Danio rerio: one gene and its partners. Each later gene encodes a partner of the first gene's protein in a complex. Links are inferred from orthologs where the notes say so. Each region holds a gene or a part of one and is shown on either strand. Other genes may lie near its edges.

Evidence for each region. Proteins that work in one complex are often made in the same cells at the same time.
Region 2: stx7l (region 1) and bet1l share a complex: the UniProt entries of both Homo sapiens proteins name them as parts of the SNARE complex. The link is inferred for Danio rerio from reciprocal best matches to the Homo sapiens genes STX7 and BET1L.
Region 3: stx7l (region 1) and vti1b share a complex: the UniProt entries of both Homo sapiens proteins name them as parts of the SNARE complex. The link is inferred for Danio rerio from reciprocal best matches to the Homo sapiens genes STX7 and VTI1B.

What each region holds. Positions count from the first base shown.
Region 1 is NC_133195.1:49,558,012-49,564,280, forward strand, and holds the start of stx7l (syntaxin-7), read left to right. Parts: upstream 1-2,682; 5' UTR 2,683-2,731; intron 2,732-5,539; 5' UTR 5,540-5,548; coding exon 5,549-5,627; intron 5,628-5,998; coding exon 5,999-6,068; intron 6,069-6,269. UniProt on the Homo sapiens protein: May be involved in protein trafficking from the plasma membrane to the early endosome (EE) as well as in homotypic fusion of endocytic organelles. Mediates the endocytic trafficking from early endosomes to late endosomes and lysosomes.
Region 2 is NC_133200.1:8,371,037-8,377,469, forward strand, and holds the start of bet1l (BET1-like protein), read right to left. Parts: upstream 4,223-6,433; 5' UTR 4,173-4,222; intron 3,544-4,172; coding exon of another isoform or gene 3,274-3,543; 5' UTR 3,271-3,273; intron 3,107-3,270; exon of another isoform or gene 3,045-3,106; 5' UTR 2,974-3,044; intron 2,813-2,973; 5' UTR 2,775-2,812; coding exon of another isoform or gene 2,538-2,774; intron 2,454-2,537; coding exon of another isoform or gene 2,298-2,453; exon of another isoform or gene 2,266-2,297; intron 1,128-2,265; exon of another isoform or gene 1,008-1,127; intron 968-1,007; exon of another isoform or gene 730-967; coding exon of another isoform or gene 708-729; intron 477-707; coding exon of another isoform or gene 457-476; coding exon 391-456; intron 1-390. Other genes in the region: kcnj11l (potassium inwardly rectifying channel subfamily J member 11, like), read left to right, coding at 2,298-2,453, 2,538-2,774, 3,274-3,543, 4,223-4,430, 6,421-6,433. UniProt on the Homo sapiens protein: Vesicle SNARE required for targeting and fusion of retrograde transport vesicles with the Golgi complex. Required for the integrity of the Golgi complex.
Region 3 is NC_133188.1:36,489,962-36,496,505, reverse strand, and holds the start of vti1b (vesicle transport through interaction with t-SNAREs homolog 1B), read left to right. Parts: upstream 1-2,322; 5' UTR 2,323-2,456; coding exon 2,457-2,553; intron 2,554-5,617; coding exon 5,618-5,676; intron 5,677-6,544. Other genes in the region: rdh12 (retinol dehydrogenase 12), read right to left, coding at 1,425-1,504. UniProt on the Homo sapiens protein: V-SNARE that mediates vesicle transport pathways through interactions with t-SNAREs on the target membrane. These interactions are proposed to mediate aspects of the specificity of vesicle trafficking and to promote fusion of the lipid bilayers.

The sequences.
Region 1 (6,269 bases):
TCGGGGGAGACGGGAGGGGGGACAAGCGTGCTTTGGCCCGGTTCGAGGCAACTGTACATGGTGCGAGTACGGCCTCAGACACACAAAGAGCGTTTATAAAGGTATATACATGATAGAGAATTTTATTTTGAGTGCTTGTGAGATGTTTTGTTTTTAAATATATTACTATATATTACTAGATATTAGAAGATATTATTGTTGTTGTTTTTTTTTTCTGTGAAGCTAAGCAGGGCTGAGCCTGGCCAGTACCTGGATGGGAGACCACATGGGAACACTAGGTTGCTGTTGGAAGTGGTGTTAGTGAGGCCAGCAGGGGGTGCTCAACCTGCAGACTGTTTGAGTCCTAATGCCCCAGTATGAGTGAAGGGGACACTATACTGTCAGTGGGTGCCGTTTTTCGCATGAGACGTTAAACCGAGGTCCTGACCCTATGTGGTCATTAAAAATCCAATGGCACATGGCAAGAGTAGGGTATAACCCTGGTGTCCTGGCTAAAGTCCCTCAATCAGCCCTTACAATCATGGCCTCCCAATCATCCCCATCCACCGAATTGGCTCTATCACTGTCTCTCCACTCCACCAACAGCTGGTGTGTGGCGAGCGCACTGGCCCCATTGTCTTGTGGCTGCTGTCGCATCATCCAAGTGGATGCTGCACACTGGTGGTGGTGTGGAGAGACCCCCCTCATGATTGTGAAGCACTTTGGGTGTATGGCCATACAAGATAAATACGCTTTATAAATACACACATTACATTACAGTACATTACAAATTTGTTGATGGTTAGTTAATTTTGCTAACAAATTTTACTTTTAAAAGAACTAATTTTGTGCAAGGTATATTTTAACTGTAGTTAAATTATAGTAATTCTCAACATATATGAATTGAGTGTTTTTTGTATACTTTAAGTAAACTTGCACATAGCCTACAACACTAAAACTAAAATTTAACAAAGAGTACGCTAAGAGCGATTGCATTATTTTTTGTGTGTGTGTGTGTGTGTGTGTGTGTGTGTGTGTGTAGTTGTAGTTAATTCGAAGCCCAAATTCTGAGCTTGGGGCAAACTAACCATTTACTACAAGCATTATGACTAGTTGTACACTTAAAGTGTACTGTCACACTTATACTACACTAAAAGCTAGCCAATTTAGTTCTATGATATATTCAAGTATTACAAGTAGCTCATAACAAGCGTTCCCAAACTATTCAGCTAGTGAGCCCCAAAATAACAATTCCAGTGACTCGCAATCCAAACAGTACAACATACAAACAGTGCACACAAAAAATAAATAATTAAATATATATATATATATATATATATATATATATATATATATATATATATATATATATATATGTGTGTGTGTGTGTGTGTGTGTGTGTGTGTGTGTGTGTAAGTGTGTGTGTGTGAGTGTGTGTGTGTGTATGTATATATATGTATGTATGTATGTATGTGTGTGTGTGTGTGTGTGTGTGTGTGTGTGTGTGTGTGTGTGTGTGTGTGTGTGTGTGTGTGTGTGTGTGTGTGTGTGTGTGTGTGTGTGTGTGTGTGTATCAGGCCCGGATTGGCTAATCGGGAGGACCGGGAGAATTCCCGGTGGGCCGGTGCGTTTTTTGGCCGCGAGGGCCGGTGTCCCTAGCTCTAGAATCTGTTGCTCTCAGCAGTCACACTTTTTAAATTAATTTATTTACTTACTTGACTACAGTCTTCTTATTCATCATTTTACCGCAGCTCTGCTCTTTTTATATATGACCAGCCTGCAGGTTAATGACGATATTAGTCAGATGAGTCAGTCCTTCATATACAACTGTTGTGGTCCAGTGGTTAGCACGTTAGATTATGACGCTAACTTTCAGTAACTCGCAGCGACATATATAATATATATATATTTATATATATATAAATAATTTTTTTTGTCAATATTTAATTTACTATTAATCTCACTTAATGACAACGGTGAGCACACTGTTTGCAGCACAAGACTATTCTTGGTTTAATTTTGGGGATCGTCCTCTATGTGTAGTCGTGGCCTTTATTTTTTATGTACACGCGTGCCGTAAAGGTGTCAGAGTTTAACATTGTGCCATTAATCTAGTGTAATAACCCCAGGGGTTGGAATCCAATGGGAAAAGAATTGAAAGGCTGATGGCTTTTTATTTGCATGCTGTTATTTTATTTAACTATTAAATACCATGTTTATCTTCTGTAAGTTATGGATAAAATATGGCTATTCTAATAGTTTAATAACATATATTAAAGAGAAATCACCAAGCAACCCACCCTCATTGTCTCACAAACCCCAATTTGGGAACCACATAGCTATACTACTAGTAGCCTACATAAATGTTTATGTGAAGTATGCTTAAGATATATCAATATTAACTAACTATACTTAATAAAAAGGAACGTGAAGTATACTTCTTTTTAGTAAGGTTAGGCTACTTATTACCCATGTGGAAACCAAGTTAAAGTCTACTTTATTTTTGTTATGTAGGCTAGTTTTTTTTTTTTTTTACTTTTTTAATTGGGGTAAGTTAATAATAATAGACATCTGCCTAGTATTTGTCGATCTAAACATATAGTACATAAACTCAATAGTTTAGTATATGCGTCAAGTACATTACTAATCTACTACATGTTTCTGAACGCACACGGAAGATAGAACAGAAGTCACGTGACCCGCGCGTCAAAGAAATCAGCTGAGGGCTCGGAGTTTCACTCAGGAAATCCAGGTAAACCGAACAACCAAAGTACATATTAAAGTAAACGATGCGTATTTATAAACTGTACATGTGTGCAGACTTTACGTAAATAGTTGTTGAGGGTAGTTTAAAAGAGAAGTCAGTAAAGTAGCAAGCGCAAAGTTCATTCACTGAAGCATATTTGTTGACAGCGCGATTTGTGTTCACTTGACATGAAACTACACTGTAAGATTCCCGAATGTTAATGTTTGTTGTGTGTCAGCAAAGTTAAAACAATAGCTGTCTAGTTTTATAAATGAAAATGCGTGTTTGTGAGTTTGTGAGCCGTGATTTCCGCATTCTTTCGTTTTGCAGGTGCAGCGCAGATCGGTTTTACTAGTCATCTGTTTAGTACTAGCCTGCTAACCAATAAACAACATTACGCCAGCTATTTTCGAGTAATTATTGAGCTAATAAGGCATATTTCAAAGCAAGGTGAGCAACTATATGGGGCAAGTTTTCTCGTTAATTCAAAATGACAACAGTAATATCATTAAGGGAGATTCTAAAACGCATGAAATAAGCTTAATAATTGAGGTTAAGTTGATTTTATACTATAGACTTTATCCTTAATAATATAATTTTGGCTAAGAACTGCACATTCTGATTAGGGACATCATATTAGCATCTAATGACTTTCAAAGTACACGCTGCTCTCAGTCAATTAAATAATGCTAATGTTTAGGTCATACTTACATGTGATTTCAGACTTCATATATAAAGTAGCATGGTAAACAATATAGGGAGTGTATCACAAGTTGTCACTGAAAGAATGTGCGAATATAAAACCAACTTTGCCTCAATAGCTTAATATACCTAAACATCAACCAGAGAAGCCCACATTTCGATCAAACTTTACTTGTAATTAACCCGAACTACTGTTAAGACAGAGTCCCAATTCCATAAGTGAAAAATATCACGCTAAGCGTTTTCTCCACTATTGAAGTCTATTATAAGTAAAAGCTTAATGTGGCTTAATGTACCTCAACAACAAGTGGGGGGAACCAAATTTCTATCAAATTTTACTTGTGGTTAGCACTAACTATATAGCAAAAAAATTAAAAATTTGCCCCATTTCCACAGCTTAAGTGAACAGCGTTTTTCCCTATGTTGTTGTGGGGATGTCAATGACATGCACAAGTGCATTCTTTTGACAGCAAAGGGTTAATCTATAATAAATTAAGTTAGATTTTTTGAACAGCTTTTTTATAATTTGGTTTCCCTCTGTTTTTAAGTCAAGCTTTCCTTATTAAGGACTTCAACGGGGAAGAAAACACTTAACGTGATATTGTTAACTTTATCTGTGGAATTAAGGCCCATTCTTTTAAAAATAGTTTGTCTTAATCACAAGTAAAGAAATTTGGGTTTCCCTGGTCTGGGTTAAGATATGTTAAGCCACGTTAAGCTGATTCCTTATAATGCGCTTCTGTGAGGAGAATGCTGAAAGTGATATTGCTCACTTGATACACTAAAATAAAAGCTTGTTCTTTTACAGCAGTAAGTGTTTTTCATGAATATATATCTATAGAAATTTGATTGTCTCTAGATGTTAAGTTAAACCACATTAAGCTGTTATAATGGACTGAAATGGGGATAAAATGCTTAACAACATTGTCCGCTTTATCTACAGACTAAGGGCTTGATCTTTTGATAGTAGTTAGTGTTAATCACAAGTATTCGATAGATTTTTGGTGTACCCCACTTGTTGAGGTATACATTAAGCCATGTTAAGCGTTTTCCTTTTATAATGGACTCAGTGGGGAGAATTGCATACCGTGATAATTTTTACCCACTAAAATAAGAGCTCATTCTTTTGACATCAGAAAGTGTTTGTAACTTTTATAGAAATTTGGTTTCTCCCACTTGCTGTTAAGGTACATTAAGCCACGTTAAGCTTTATCCTTATAATAGACTCCAATGGGGGAGTAAACGCCTAACATGATGTTTTTCAATTTATCTGCTTAATTGGGACTCATTCTTTTTACAGTAATTAGGGTTAATTACAAGTACAGTTTGACAGAAATTTGGGGTTTTCTGGTTGATGTTTAGTTACATTAAGCCCCGCTTTCTTCATGTTAAGCATTTTTGAATGTCCCCATTAATATAATTAAGAAACGCATACAAAATAGTGAGCAATTGTTTTGGTCTCCAAATAGTACAGTACGTTTTAAGGGTAACTTAAAGTTGGTTTATATTCACACATTCAGACTTTCTCCTTAATATAATTTCAGAAAACTATTCTTTACTAATACTAAATAGTCAAATCATATTCCCAGCAAATGACAATTAAAGTACAGCATTGTTCATGGTCAATTAAATAGTGCTAATGTTGTTTTGGAGGCATATGATTCAGACCGAATATTTAAAGTAGTAAACAATATAGGAAACATGTCACAAGTTGTCCCTAAATGAATGTGGGAATATTAAACATTAATAAGTATGTATAGTTTGTGTAAAACATGTTTACAACTCGTGAAAGTCTGTCACTACTTGACATTTATTAAAAACGTCGCAAATCCAGCATTTCAGTTCATACATGTTAATATACAAACTATTCTGTAGCATGTAGGATCAAATATAATGATAGTTGAATGTTATTGAAGGAAGAAATTGATAAGCCATATGTAAAAACACGTTCAAATAGTATGTTTTAGGAGCAATGTATATAAGAAAACATGTTTATGAATAAATTGTATAAGCTTGTTATTATGTAGCGCAGTATAAGAGATAATTGTGCGATTGTAGGCCTGCAAATAAATGTGATTTCTACAAATGTGTTTTCTGTCTCTTTCATTAAAGGCTTCCATCATGTATGGATCAAGAGAAGTCGATGCCAATGGGCTGGCACAGACTATTAGTTCAAACATCCAGAGGATAACGCTTCTAAGTGAGTACATTCACTCTTATTTATGTGCTATAAAAATTGTATAGCTTACAAAAATGTACCATCAGTTTTTTTTACCAAACAATAACTGTTAGTAAACTCGTACTTTTTTAATGATTATGTCTAGACTTGACTTGTATTTTTAGCCACGCCTGGATGGTGGTGATGTTTCTGTTTTCACATCTTCAATTTCTTTGTTCAGTTGTTCTCCATTTATCTGCTATGCAATTTAATGTGCTACATTCACAAAACCACAACAGATAAAAAGTCAAGTACAAGCGGAACACATTTGTTTACGACAAAACAGTCCTTTCTGTAACCTGATAACATGGGAGGTGTTTAAAGCTGATTTAGATCTTGCTTCTGTTTCCCAGCTAATGAAATCCAGCAGTTGATGAGACATCTTGGAACGGCACAAGACACAAGTGACCTGCGACAGACATTGTGAGCCAAATACAAACATCTAGTTTGGATCTCAGTCCTTTAGCACATAAAATAAATAGAGATGAATCTATTTAGCCTATTTTTTATCAGCTAATCATTAATGAATTTAAAACGGTCTGTGTTTTGGCTATAGCGTTAAACCGACTATAAAATATATCTGTTTTAAGGACAAATGATTAGGAATATAGGCTAACAGTTTAT
Region 2 (6,433 bases), on another chromosome or scaffold:
TGCACATTTGCTCATTTTTGAACAATGACAACTTGTCCCCATGTGGTTTACCATGTTACATTGAAAACTCTGGAGTCTGAAATCGCATGCAAGTATGACTTTAAAACAACATTAGCACTATTTAATTGACTGTGAACAATGTTATACTTTGATAGTTATTGGCTGATAATATGACTTCCACATTTAAAATGTATAAGGGATACTGAAATTATATTATTAAGGAGAATATCTGAATCTCTGAGTATTAAACCAACTTTATTTATACTTGATTTCTGGGAAATTTTAAAACACCATTGAGATTTTCAAAATGCTTTTCAGTGTAGCTCATTATACTCAAAATAATAATAATAATAATAGATTTTAGCAGATCTTGGACTAGTTCTGACTTACAGACTTTAGTCTCGAGACTTTACTGGCCAGATTTTCCGCCATCCGCTTGTTTTCAGCATCCAGCATGTCATCCACAGCTCCATGTCCTGAAAATTACATTATTATTCAATAATTTTGGGCTGTTACAACATTCTCACCTGAACACCTTCATATTTAAGTAAATTTGTTCAGGCAAAATCAACAACCGAAGCTACTGTTAGACAATAAAAGCTTTATAATATTTTAATATCATGTATAATATCATGTAACTTAGCTATAGTACTGCTTAAAAAGTGTAAGAACTGCATATTAAAAGAGAACTGCTACGTGTCACTTACCTCGATTCCATGGATCAGCCATTTTTAAAGAGCTAATCGGCTAACAACCTTCTAAAAATACTCCAAAAGACGCCAAACACCGACGAAAACTATTCTTATTATCCGTAAAAGACGTATAAATGTAATTCGCACACATATAATGTTAATAAAACTGTTGGCAAAAGTAAACAGAGCGCATTTATCCCGAAGAGAACCGCCAAACAGCAGCAGTGTACAGTGAAGCGCAGCTGTCGCGAGGGGATTGTGGGATATGTTTATCCGCCGGTCATTCATTTTTCTATCATAAGGACTCTGTCTGATTGCATAAGCTTCCTAGACTGCCATCTGCTTGCGTTTGGGTTTTAAATGTTTTGTTCGGTTAGTATTATTTTACTAAACGACATCGATATGAAATAAACAGCGCCTGACACTGTTGTGCTGGTAAGCATCTTTATCTTATAAAAAACCTTGATAATCCTGTCATCATGATGGCGATCGTAAAACACAATAATAAAGGATGCATATTGAAATTAAGATTTTTGGATGTCTTAATGCGCTACAATGCATTCAATTAAATGAAGAAAATGTTCTAATATAATGCAAAATAATAATTGAAGGGGATTGAAAAATATTAATCGTTTTAATGCTGATGTTTTAACAGGAATTAGGAGATTGGATGACATTAAGAGCGGTCTATCAGCTACTGTCATCTGAATTCTCATACCGAAAAAAATTGCTTTGAAATATGTAAAATAATCGATGAGCTTACGCGCTTCTTTGATGATGTACAACCAAATTATGATAAAACGTTATAATATATGTATATATTTGAAATAATACATGTATATATTTTATGTTTGAGTGAAACTAAACTATTCAAAATAGCATTGTCGCTCGTGATTAGACAGTTTCATGCCAGTTTTTCCCTTAATAAACGATTACCATTTATTTAATTAAATAATTATATTTTAAATTAGTTAAATATAAAAACTAAAAGAAATATAAATGTAATTGTTTAAAATTATGAATATGCTTTGATATCTGTGCAACTAACAAAAGACAATTTATGAGTTATCTGTTTATGCATAAAATAAACAAAAAAAATAATTAAAATTAAGCTTTAACTATTATATTACGAGTTACATCAAAAATTCTTCGATTTTTATTTATTATAACCTAATAATATAATTTATTAATGTAACCTTTATTATAATGTTATTATAACCTTATTCATTATGTAATTTATAAATGTAACCTTTTGCATTATTATTAGGCAAAACGTTACCTTTAGGTAAAAGATTTTAAAATTATGCAATTCAATGCATATATACTGTAAACCTAATTTATTATTATTATTTTTTTAGCAGTATAAGTAAAACAAAACACTAAATTTAATGATGAATTAATGATAAAATGTAATGTCAAACTGCTTTGTATATTGTTTACATTGTAAAAAGGGCTAAAGAATTAAAGATAAACTAAATTAACTGAAATGTACTTCATAATTTTTTCTTTATTTTTCAAGAAACCCTTAGTGTTACTGTATATTTTAGTTCTTTTTTTTAAATTCCTTCTACAGTGCGGAGCACCAATTGGCCACAAATTGTCATAATGTTGGCCCGCAAAGGTCTTTTGCCTGATGGGTTCTTGTTAACGCGACTCGCTGAAGATGCACAACCCAGCCGCATCCGGCCAAAGTCACAAAGGGCACGTTTTATCACCAAGAGCGGCTCATGTAATGTAGCCCACAAGAATATTCGAGAACAGGTGAGATTTTCCTATCAGTTCTAGGCTAAAGAAAAGTTTCAATTGACTCAGTTGCAGTGTTCATAAGAGATTATTGCTTCTCAGGGTCGGTTTCTCCAAGATGTGTTCACCACCATGGTGGACCTGAAATGGCAGCATTCTTTGCTCATCTTCACCTCAGCGTTCCTCTGCTCCTGGATGCTCTTTGCCATGGTGTGGTGGCTCCTGGCATTCGCTCATGGAGATCTAGAACCTCGAGATCCCAATGAACCCGGACCTGTGCCGTGCGTCACATCCATTCACTCCTTCACTTCTGCTTTTCTGTTCTCCATTGAAGTGCAGGTAAGGATCAATCTGGATAGATATGACTCTGTTTCCATCTAGAATTATTATGACATGCATTTTCAGTAATCTAAATATTTTAGACTCCGCATACATTTTTATTTAATGTCATCCACTTGTGATTGGACTGACTGAAACGTAATACTAGTTGTCAAAACTGAGGGAGAATAAACAATGTAATATTTTTGGTAAACTATACCTTAACAGCGCTGAACAGGATGTGAAGTAGAAGTTGACGTCAATCTTCTGTGGAGGCGGGGCTTATCCACTCTATTACATCATAGAGTAGAACATTCAAGAATCTGTTATCTTCAGACTGCCTTCAATATAATCTGTATTTAGAGGAACCACAAAGTGTTCAGTTCTAAAACTTACAGGATATTTTTAGAGAACTATGAGCTCTTATATGTAAAAAAAAAAAAATTAGGTGATTTTTAGGTTTCACAGTTCATGACCCCTTTAAATCGTCTGTAAGATAATGAAGCATTTGTAATACCAGGTAACTATTGGTTTCGGAGGACGAATGGTGACAGAGGAGTGTCCGCTGGCCATCATAGTCCTCATCATCCAGAACATTCTGGGCCTGATCATCAACGCCATCATGCTTGGCTGTGTGTTCATGAAGACAGCTCAAGCCAACCGCAGAGCAGAAACCCTCATCTTCTCCCGCAACGCAGTCATTGCCCCAAGGAATGGCAGACCGACATTGATGTTTCGTGTTGGAGATCTGAGAAAAAGCATGATCATCTCTGCCAACATACAGCTGCAGGTGACAGATGTGTTTATTTCTTTACTGATGTATTTAAATCATTGAAGAACCTTAACATCCACAGAACCTTCTATTAGAGAGTTCTTCATTTTAGTCCTTTAGATCAGTGTTTCTCAACCACGTTTCTTTGAGGACCACACGCTTTGCACATTTTCCATGTCTCCTTAACCAAACACACCTGATTCAGACCGTCAGCTCATTAGCAGAGACTGAAAGACCTGTAATTGGTTTGACGGACAAAGGAGACATCCAAAACATGCAGTGTTGGTGGTCCTCCAGGAACGTGGTTGAGAAACACTGCTATAGATCTTTAATATGTCCTTCAAACTAAGGTTATTTAATCATTATTTTATCACCAGGTTCAGACAACATAAAAGCAAGGCATTTGATGTCAAAATGATGGCAGATATGTAGCTTTAAAGATAGTATAAATTCTGCCTTAAAGGGACAGTTCACCTTAAAATTAAAATTCTGCCATTACTTGGCAGAATGGAAATCTATTCAGGCATCTTGAATGCAAGAATTTAGAAATTCGACATGGAGAGTGATTTTCATACACATTGATTATCATAACAAACACAAATTATGTGAAGTGTGAGCCAAAAATGCTTTATATATCATGTCTGTACCAGATATTCTTGAGTTTGATTCCATCCTGATCTTGATATTTGCTCCTCAGGTTATTCGGCGGACAGTGACAGCGGAGGGCGAAGTGATTCCCGTCTGTCAGTTAGATATCCAGGTGGAAAACCCTCTCAGGAGCAACGGCATATTCCTCGTCTCTCCACTCATTATCAGTCACACCATTGACAGAGGGAGTCCACTGTACGAGCTCTCAGCGCAGTCAATGGCTACCGAAGATCTGGAGATCATTGTCATTTTAGAAGGTGAATAGAGTCTACTTTCCAGTACTGGGTTGTGGCTAGAAGAGCATCTGCTGCATAAATCATATGGTGGAATAGTTGGCGGTTTATTTCCCTGTGGTGACCCTTGATAAATAAGAGACTAAGCCGAAGGAGAATGAATGTTTGATTGAATAGAGTCTGCTTAATGTAATTGTTTTGTTTAAAAGCCAAAGTATTTTTAAGGGATTATCATAGATAAGCTCTCTAATATGTGACCCTAGAGTACAAAACCAATCATAAGTGTCAATTTTGGGAAATTGAGATTTATACATGATCTGAAAGCTGAATAAATACATTTGTCATTGATGCTGAGATGCAACTATTTCAAAATCTGGAATCCGAGGGTTTAAAAATATCTAAATATTGGGAAAGCTGCCTTTAAAGTTGTCTAAATTAAGTTATTAACAAAGCAGGCCTGTAGCCAGGGGAGGGTTTCAGGTGGTTCAGAAGACCCACCCCTCATTGACAAAGGCCCATAACTACTATGTCATAATAAGTTGTGAAAATAATCCATGGAAAAAGGCTTTAACACCATGTGGAATCCTGTGTTGGTTGTTGCGTCAGCATGACTGAGGAAAGTTGAATGTGCGGGACGGTTTGCTTTTTATGTTAATGATATTTAAATAACAATAGGCTAAAGTTTTTAATTTAAAACTTTAACAAATTCCTATTTTTTCTAATGATGCAATTGATGTATATGATGTAAATGATAATTGATGTAAACCTTAACATCAAAAATGTGGTTATGATGACCATCAAACAAGCTAATCCAGCAAAAAAATAGTGCTTAAAATGTTACAAAAATGCAACTTATTTTAACCTCATAATTACATAGAAAAAAATTAGGCGAATAAATGCAAAATGGTCAACTTTTTAAGAAAAAAGATCCACACCCTTCACCAGGCTGGCTACAGGCCTGTAATGCATATTACTAATTGAAAATTAAGTTCTGACATAGTAGACTCTTATTAAGAGTATTGTCTTAATCTTATTAATGTCGGACTATTGGTGTCCCTGTTAACATACTCTACTTCTAATGCCTTATCTGTCATAATTTTAGGCTTTCTAGAATATTTTACTATGAAATTTTCACCGTATTAATGCCACTTATTTTGGAATTACCTGCAAGACATTTTTATTATTGATAATAATGATTACACAATGCTTTAAAACATGTTTACCTATTTTCTCAGTGTTTGCTGAAGAATGTAAAAAATTACCTTAAGTAGGACTGCACGATATTAGAAAAATCTAATAACGCAATATTTTATTTTTCTGCGATAAATATTGTGATATAAATACAGTTTCACAAGACGGTTTTCTATGGAGCCTAACCGTATTCAGGTACAGGAATTTAATAATTTAGCATAAAATATAATGAATTATAAAATAGCAAGGAAAGGCTATTAATGCTTTTGTTTCTATTTCGTTTCTAGTCCAAATATCTAAAAATTCTTAGATCAAGCAAAAATATTGTTTTGTTTTCAACTTAACTCAACTTAACTTTAACTCAAACGTTTGTCAGGATTTTTTTTTCTTAAAACAAGTAAAATAATCTTGTTTTCACTTTGAAATTAAGACATTTTAAATAGAAACAAGACAAAAATTTTAAGATTTTTTTTTTTTATGCATAAAGTGTATATATTCGGTCTAAATACGGTAATTAAATACAATTCTGTGGCTCCTGTTCAACTATAATCTAGACTCAACATTACATATCTTGCAATGGGACTATGGGTGCACACATTCCGATATCGATTCTGAAACGATATATTGTGCAGCAAATAATACAAAGCATTAATATAAAATGACATTAAATTTAAAGAAAATGAAACTATTTAAAAACTGAAAGAAAAAGAAACCACACTGAAGTAAAATCAAATTCAAGTCACATCCAAAGGTCCATTTAGGTTAGCATGGTGTCTTATAAGTTTGCTTACCAAGTTTAAACTTTCTAAATCTGTTTGACTAGGTGTTGTGGAGAC
Region 3 (6,544 bases), on another chromosome or scaffold:
TCCCTGCAGAGTTTTGTTCCAACACTAGTCAAACACACCTAAACAAACTAATCACTGTCTTAAGGATCACTAGAATCTATAAGCAGGTGTGTTTGATTAGAATAGGAGCTAAACTGTGCAGGACACCGGCCCTCCAGGACCGAGTTTGCCCACCCCTGATCTAATGGGTCATCCCAACCGCTTATTATATTGGTGGAATATAGCTCATATTCAATGATCCTTTTTGGCAGATGCAGGTGTTCACTTATCTTAACCCTCTCATTAACCTTAGTCACCTTAGCTGAACTACTGGTGTTTAGCATCTCTTAACTGACATCTTTAAAAAACACTTTCAGATACCCATGATGATGCATTAAACGTGCATATTGATCATTGATTAATAACAACTGAATATTCATCATTAAACAAATAGATATGGGGTGGCGCAGTGGGTAGCACTGCTGCATCACAGCAAGAAGGTCACTGGTTCGAGCCTCGGCTGTGCCAGTAGGCATTTCTGTGAAGAGTTTGGATGTTCTCCCCGTATTGGTGTGGGTTTCCTGCAGGTGCTCCGGTTTTCCCTACAGGTCCAAAGACATGTGGTATATGTGAATTGGGTAAGCTGAACTTTCCGTAGTGTATGTGTGTGAATGAGTGTGTATGGGTGTTTCTCAGTGATAGGTTGCAGCTGGAAGGACATCCACTGCGTACAACATGCTGGATAAATTGGTGGTTCATTCCGCTGTGGTGACCCCAGATTAATAAAGGGACTAAGCCGAAAAAAAAATTAATAAATGAATGATAAAAACTCAACATAAACATTACAATTTAATAACAACCATCTGCATATAGTCTACATTGAATTATTTTATGTAACTGACGAAGGACAGTTAAACTCGAGGTGTAACTCCGCCTCATCACATCGGGTGTGCTTTATTTTCTAGTATATTTCTTGTTCATCCATCCAGCATGCCTGTCAAGACACTCGTCCCACGCAGAAAGCGATCGCCAATCCATCAGAGCCAATGAAGCAGCGCGGTTAGCAGAGGGGCGGGGTGGCTCCGCCTATACTGTCATTCTATTGGTCGATTTCTGGAGCAGATCATGTCAAGTGGAGGCGGGTCCGCAACGGGACAACCTTAATCAATATCCAGCGCGTTCTACATCCAAATAATAAAAGCATTGTTGATGCGTAATGTAACGTAATGTAGATTACGTAGAAATTCGAGTTCAGATGTGATCGTTTAATACCATTACAGGACCCTGCACGGGGCTGTACGCTTCAGTGGTGGCTGTGGTTTCTGCTTTAGTCTTTTACATCATGTTTTCATCCCAACTGGACACTGTGCTCGTTTCACCACAGATTGAATGTATTGCTAGTATAGTCGTTCATCATATCATAATGTCATTTTCATATCTCTCATGCTATAAACGACATGACTTACCTGATCTGAGGAGAAAGCAGCCTTAAAATCAGCGCGACGAGCCCTAAACCCGCCGCGAACGCCACGAGCGCGAGCATCATGACACTGCTGCTGCTGCTGTAACTGTACTGTACTCCAGTCTGTCTCTGTCCGTCCGAATGTGTTCAGCAGCCTCCCACTCACATCTACAGCTGTGCTCCCGGGGAATGATGGGATTGTAGTTTTCATTGTCTGCACCTGCACAAAAATGTTTCCTGAATGGTCATTAATTTGTTGCTGAAAATGATTGTAAATATTTTATTATTAAATATTATATTTGCAATAAACTACATGCTGTTTTATTGACATGTGTTGGGCCTTATTTTAATTATTGATATGTAGTAATAATGTATTTTTTCCTTCGCGTGTTTGTGTGAGAAAGTTTGCAGTATGCAACAACAAATAGAAAACAACAAAATGAATATAATTTAAAGTGAAATTGAAACTGAATAGTTTTTATCGTACAGCGTATCAAATATTATAGAGTGAATTATAGTACTATTAAGTCATTTATGTAAATGAATAGCAAATATGTAGGTAATATTTATTATGTCAGCTAAACTTTAATTGTTCGACGATTATATTTACGAAACAGATTAATTTGGGTTTTCCTAAAAATATGAACTACAACTCCCACACTGTATTTATGATGCGAGCTGTCTACATATTTGCTACGTTTAATTGAAGTCTACTTTTGTATCATTTTTCAAAAATGAAGTGCATTAAAATTTTAATTAAGCATACACATATTAATATAGAGCTGTTTTAGATGTTTAAAATTTTAAAACAGCCTTTAAGATTTTAATCTGCATTCTTGTTTGCAGGCAAAATCAAGACCGCCTATCATCACGAGGTCCAACACGGAAGCGTGAGCTGCAGTCCCGAGGATTTTGTTATTGCCCGAGAAGCTGATTTTTCCCTATTGTTTCGTACCACAACAGACTTCAAATTTTCGCTCTTTTATTCTGTTGTCATTTATTTTGTTTATTTGCTTTAGACTTCGTTTGTTCCACTATGTCTTCAGAGGAGTTTGAAAAGCTGCATGAGATGTATAAATCTCTGTATGACGAAGTGAAGTTGATGCCAGAACGGGTGCAGAAGAGCCAGGGAGGTGAATAAACTCTTTATACTGTATTATACGTTAACAAGACTGTGCGAATGAACTGCTTTCATCAGTGAATAGTCATTAACTTATTTTGAGTACTGTCATTAGAGATTTTCCAAACACTCCTGATATTGTAGCTGTGGATGAAGTATCGAGATTATGGAATTAGGCTGCTGTTCAGAAAAAAATGCTAAAATATCAACCATTAACAAACGCTTTGAAAGTGTGTGGCTATAGTTTTTTTAATCCACGGGAGTCTAGGACACGTTCATAAACTGGGTGCGAGGATTACAAATTGCTGGCTCAGTAAGAAAGACTGAGTCTAAACAAATTGCCATATACACTGCTTTGTGTCTGCAGTAAAAATGCAGTCTGCATATTTGGAAAAGACGATGTCATCTCTATCCCTAATTTGCAGAAGTGAGGTAAAGTTGGTTTTATATTTGCACATTCGTTAGTTTTTGACCAGTGGCAAATTGTGACTGTCTACTTTCAATAATGGCTGTGAGGCATGGGATTATGATTCAAAACGACATTAGCACATTTATTGACTGTGAACGACGCTGTACATTGATAGTCATTGGCTATAATATAATTTCCCTATTAAGAATTTTCAAAAATACTTTTCTGAAGTTATATTTGGAAGACTAAAGTCTCAAATGTGTGAATATAAAACAAACTTTACCTCAATATTTGCAGAGGGACATTCTAAAACGTTTAACGTGGCTTAATGTACTTGAACATCAACCAGAGAAACCCACATTTCTGTCGAGCTTTACTTGTAATTAACCCTAATGACTGTAAAATCAATGAGTCCCAATTCCCTAGATAAAATGTAAGACATCACAATAACCATTTTTCTGAAGTCTATTATAAGGAAAAAGCTTAACATGGCTAATGTACCTTAACAACAAGTGGGTAACATTTAGTTTCTCTTGGTTGTTGTTGTAAAGTCACGTTCAACCTTTTCTTATTATGGACTTCGATGGGAGGAAAACACTTAACGTGATATTGTTCACTTTATCTATGGAATTAGGGCCTGTTCTTTAGACAATAGTTAGTGTTAATCACTAGTAAAGTTTGACAAATTTGGGTTTTCCTGGTCAGTGTTAAGGTACGTTAAGCCAGGTTAAGCTGTTTCCTTATAATGGACTTTTACAGAGAGAACGTTTAGTGATATTGTTCACTTGATACAGTATACTAAAATAAAAGTTTGTTCTTTTAACAGAAGAAAGTGTTTATGAGTATATTTTTATATACATTTGATTGTCTCAATGTTATTAAGTTAAACCTCATTAAGGTCTTATAATGGATTTCAATGGGGATAAAACGTTTTAATGTCACATTGATCAATTAACTTCATCCACAGAATCAGGACTTGATCTTTTGCTAGTAGTTAAAGATAATTACAAGTGAAATTTCATAGATTTTTGGTGTGCTCTTGTTGAGGTACGTTAAGCCATGTTAAGCTCTTTCCTTTTATAATGGATTTGAAAAACGCATAACGTGATCCTTTTCACTTACTAAAATTAGAGCTCATTTTTTTGACATCAGAAAGTGTTAATCACAAGTAAAATTTGATAGAAATTAGATTTTATTTTAGAAATTAGATTTTAATTAGATGTACCTTGTTGTTAAGGTACATTAAGCTACATTAAGCTTTTTCCTTACAATAGACTACAGAAAAACGCGTAATGTGATGTTTTACACTTTATCTAGGGCAGTAGTTCTCAAACTGTGGTACGTGTATGCAGGCTTCCTTCTAGTGGTACACGGAGGAATCGCTGAATAATTAAAGTAAAAATGAGCACACTTTTAACCCTTTGACGCGTACGATAACGCCGATGTGATCAGTAAATTGATTTTAATAGGATAAACCTTTCATTTTATTTTCAATTTTCTAATGTTTGTTATGTATTCTATCATTTAAAGCTAATTTCCTCTCCATATTTGTAACAGTTGTAGGGGCTTATCCCATATTTTTATATCCCAATGTTCACAGGTATAGTTTAATCACTTGCTTTACTGACACACATAACCTACTCTAACGTGCAGTGGGCAAACTCATTTTTTATTTAAATATGCAAATCCAATTCATATATCTAAAATACAAGTTAACATTTAGATTTCAAAGATTTACAAAGTCATATATACATGCATCATATATTTCAAAATTTAGGATACTTTATGATAATACTTTACATTTAGGTACAGCAGTTTTCTCTTTACTTTTTAAAAACAGTGCCGTTTTTGATTAGCTTTTGAACGCACAGTTCAACAGCACAGTGTTAATGTTCAAACTACTTATGATGTTTAATATGGCTGAAAATAACAAATATTCATAATAATAATCAGAATTAATCTGCCACGCTTTTGAATTGTGCAGTGCTGTAGCTGCTTAATTAGGCCTACTACACTACTGTATTTCAATACTGGTCATTATGGTGGTACTTGGGAAGAATTTTTAATTGAGGTGGTACTTGGTGAAAAAAGTCTAAGAACCACTGATCTAGGGAATTGGGGCTCGTTCTTTTACAGTCATTAGGGTTTATTACAAGTACAATTTGACAGAAATTTGGGGTTCTCTGGTTGATGTTTAGGTACATTAAGCAACGTATTTGCACATATTTCTTTACAAACTTGAGGTGGTCCAAGCATTTTAATATTGTTCTTTAAAATATATATATATATATTCAGTGATTGTATTTATTTGCACATCACTTGTACTGTGAAACATAATAGGCTCTTTGTGATTATATGCATGCTGCATTGCTTTAACTAGTATAAGTCATTCCAAATTAAATAATCAATGTGTGTGTGTGTATGTGTGCAATGACATAATGTTGAATAATTTCTTTTGAGGCATTTAAACGCTTTAAATGAAACGGTTTCCTGTGTTTTTTATTATTATTATTTTCCGTCTATAGATATAAACTGTAAGAGTCAATGTCAGTTGTCTCCTTGTAGTGTTCATTGTGTTATTATGCTGTTATTGTCTTGTAAATATTGTCACATCAATAGCATTAAATAAGATGACTGAAATTAACCAGCACTTTGTTTTTATTTGTAGAGGAAAGGAAGAGAATTGTCAGAGACTTTGATGAGCGTGTTTCAGAGGCTGAAGAAGTGGTAAGTAATGATGTTCACTTTATTATCAGTCTTGATTTCTGCTTCTTAAAATTGTATCTTTTACTTGGTTTATGGATTTCCTCTTTTCCTGTTTTCTGCTTTTGAGCACTACAGGCCTAATTAATTTATTTAAATAATGCAATAATGTAATGTGTATGTGTGTAAATGGTAGTTTTTTTTGACAATGCAAAAAATAATAATGTTTTAAGATTAAGGTTGTTTCTGATCATAAACTTATAATAAAAAATCCTTAGTCTTTACTAGTATATGACAAAATAAATATTATTTTCTGTTTATAAACATATGCATTAGCATCCTGTAATAGCATTGTTTGGAGTCCCAAATGAGGACATGCATATAACTAAAGAATTAGAAAATGCCTTGGCTTTTGTAACGTTAATAGCTAGAAAAAGAATTCTTGTAGAGTGTAAATCACCAACTGTCACTTTTGCCTTAGTGATGTAACAGGCCTGTAGCTAGCCTGTTGAAAGGGATGGTTCTTTTTGCAATTGTTTGCCTCATTTTCTATTTAACTATGGGATTTAAATACTGCATTTTGTTGACATTTTAAGCATTTAATTTTAATGTACTAAATATTTCCTAAAGATTTAGTTTAAAAATGTGAATAAATATTTATTTTTAAATACAAATATATTATATCATCAGAAAAAAATAAAATTAAAACTAAATTAAAAACCGCAGCCTGATGTCATTTATTAGGCAAATAACAAACTGAACAGCACATTCACCTTTCCTCAGTCAGAATTTGGCAATTTTAGGAAAAAAATTAAAACATGAACAATACAGTAGCGAAAGATGCTTTTTACGTGAGTTTGTGTTTTTTTGCACAGCTGCATGTTGGGACTTA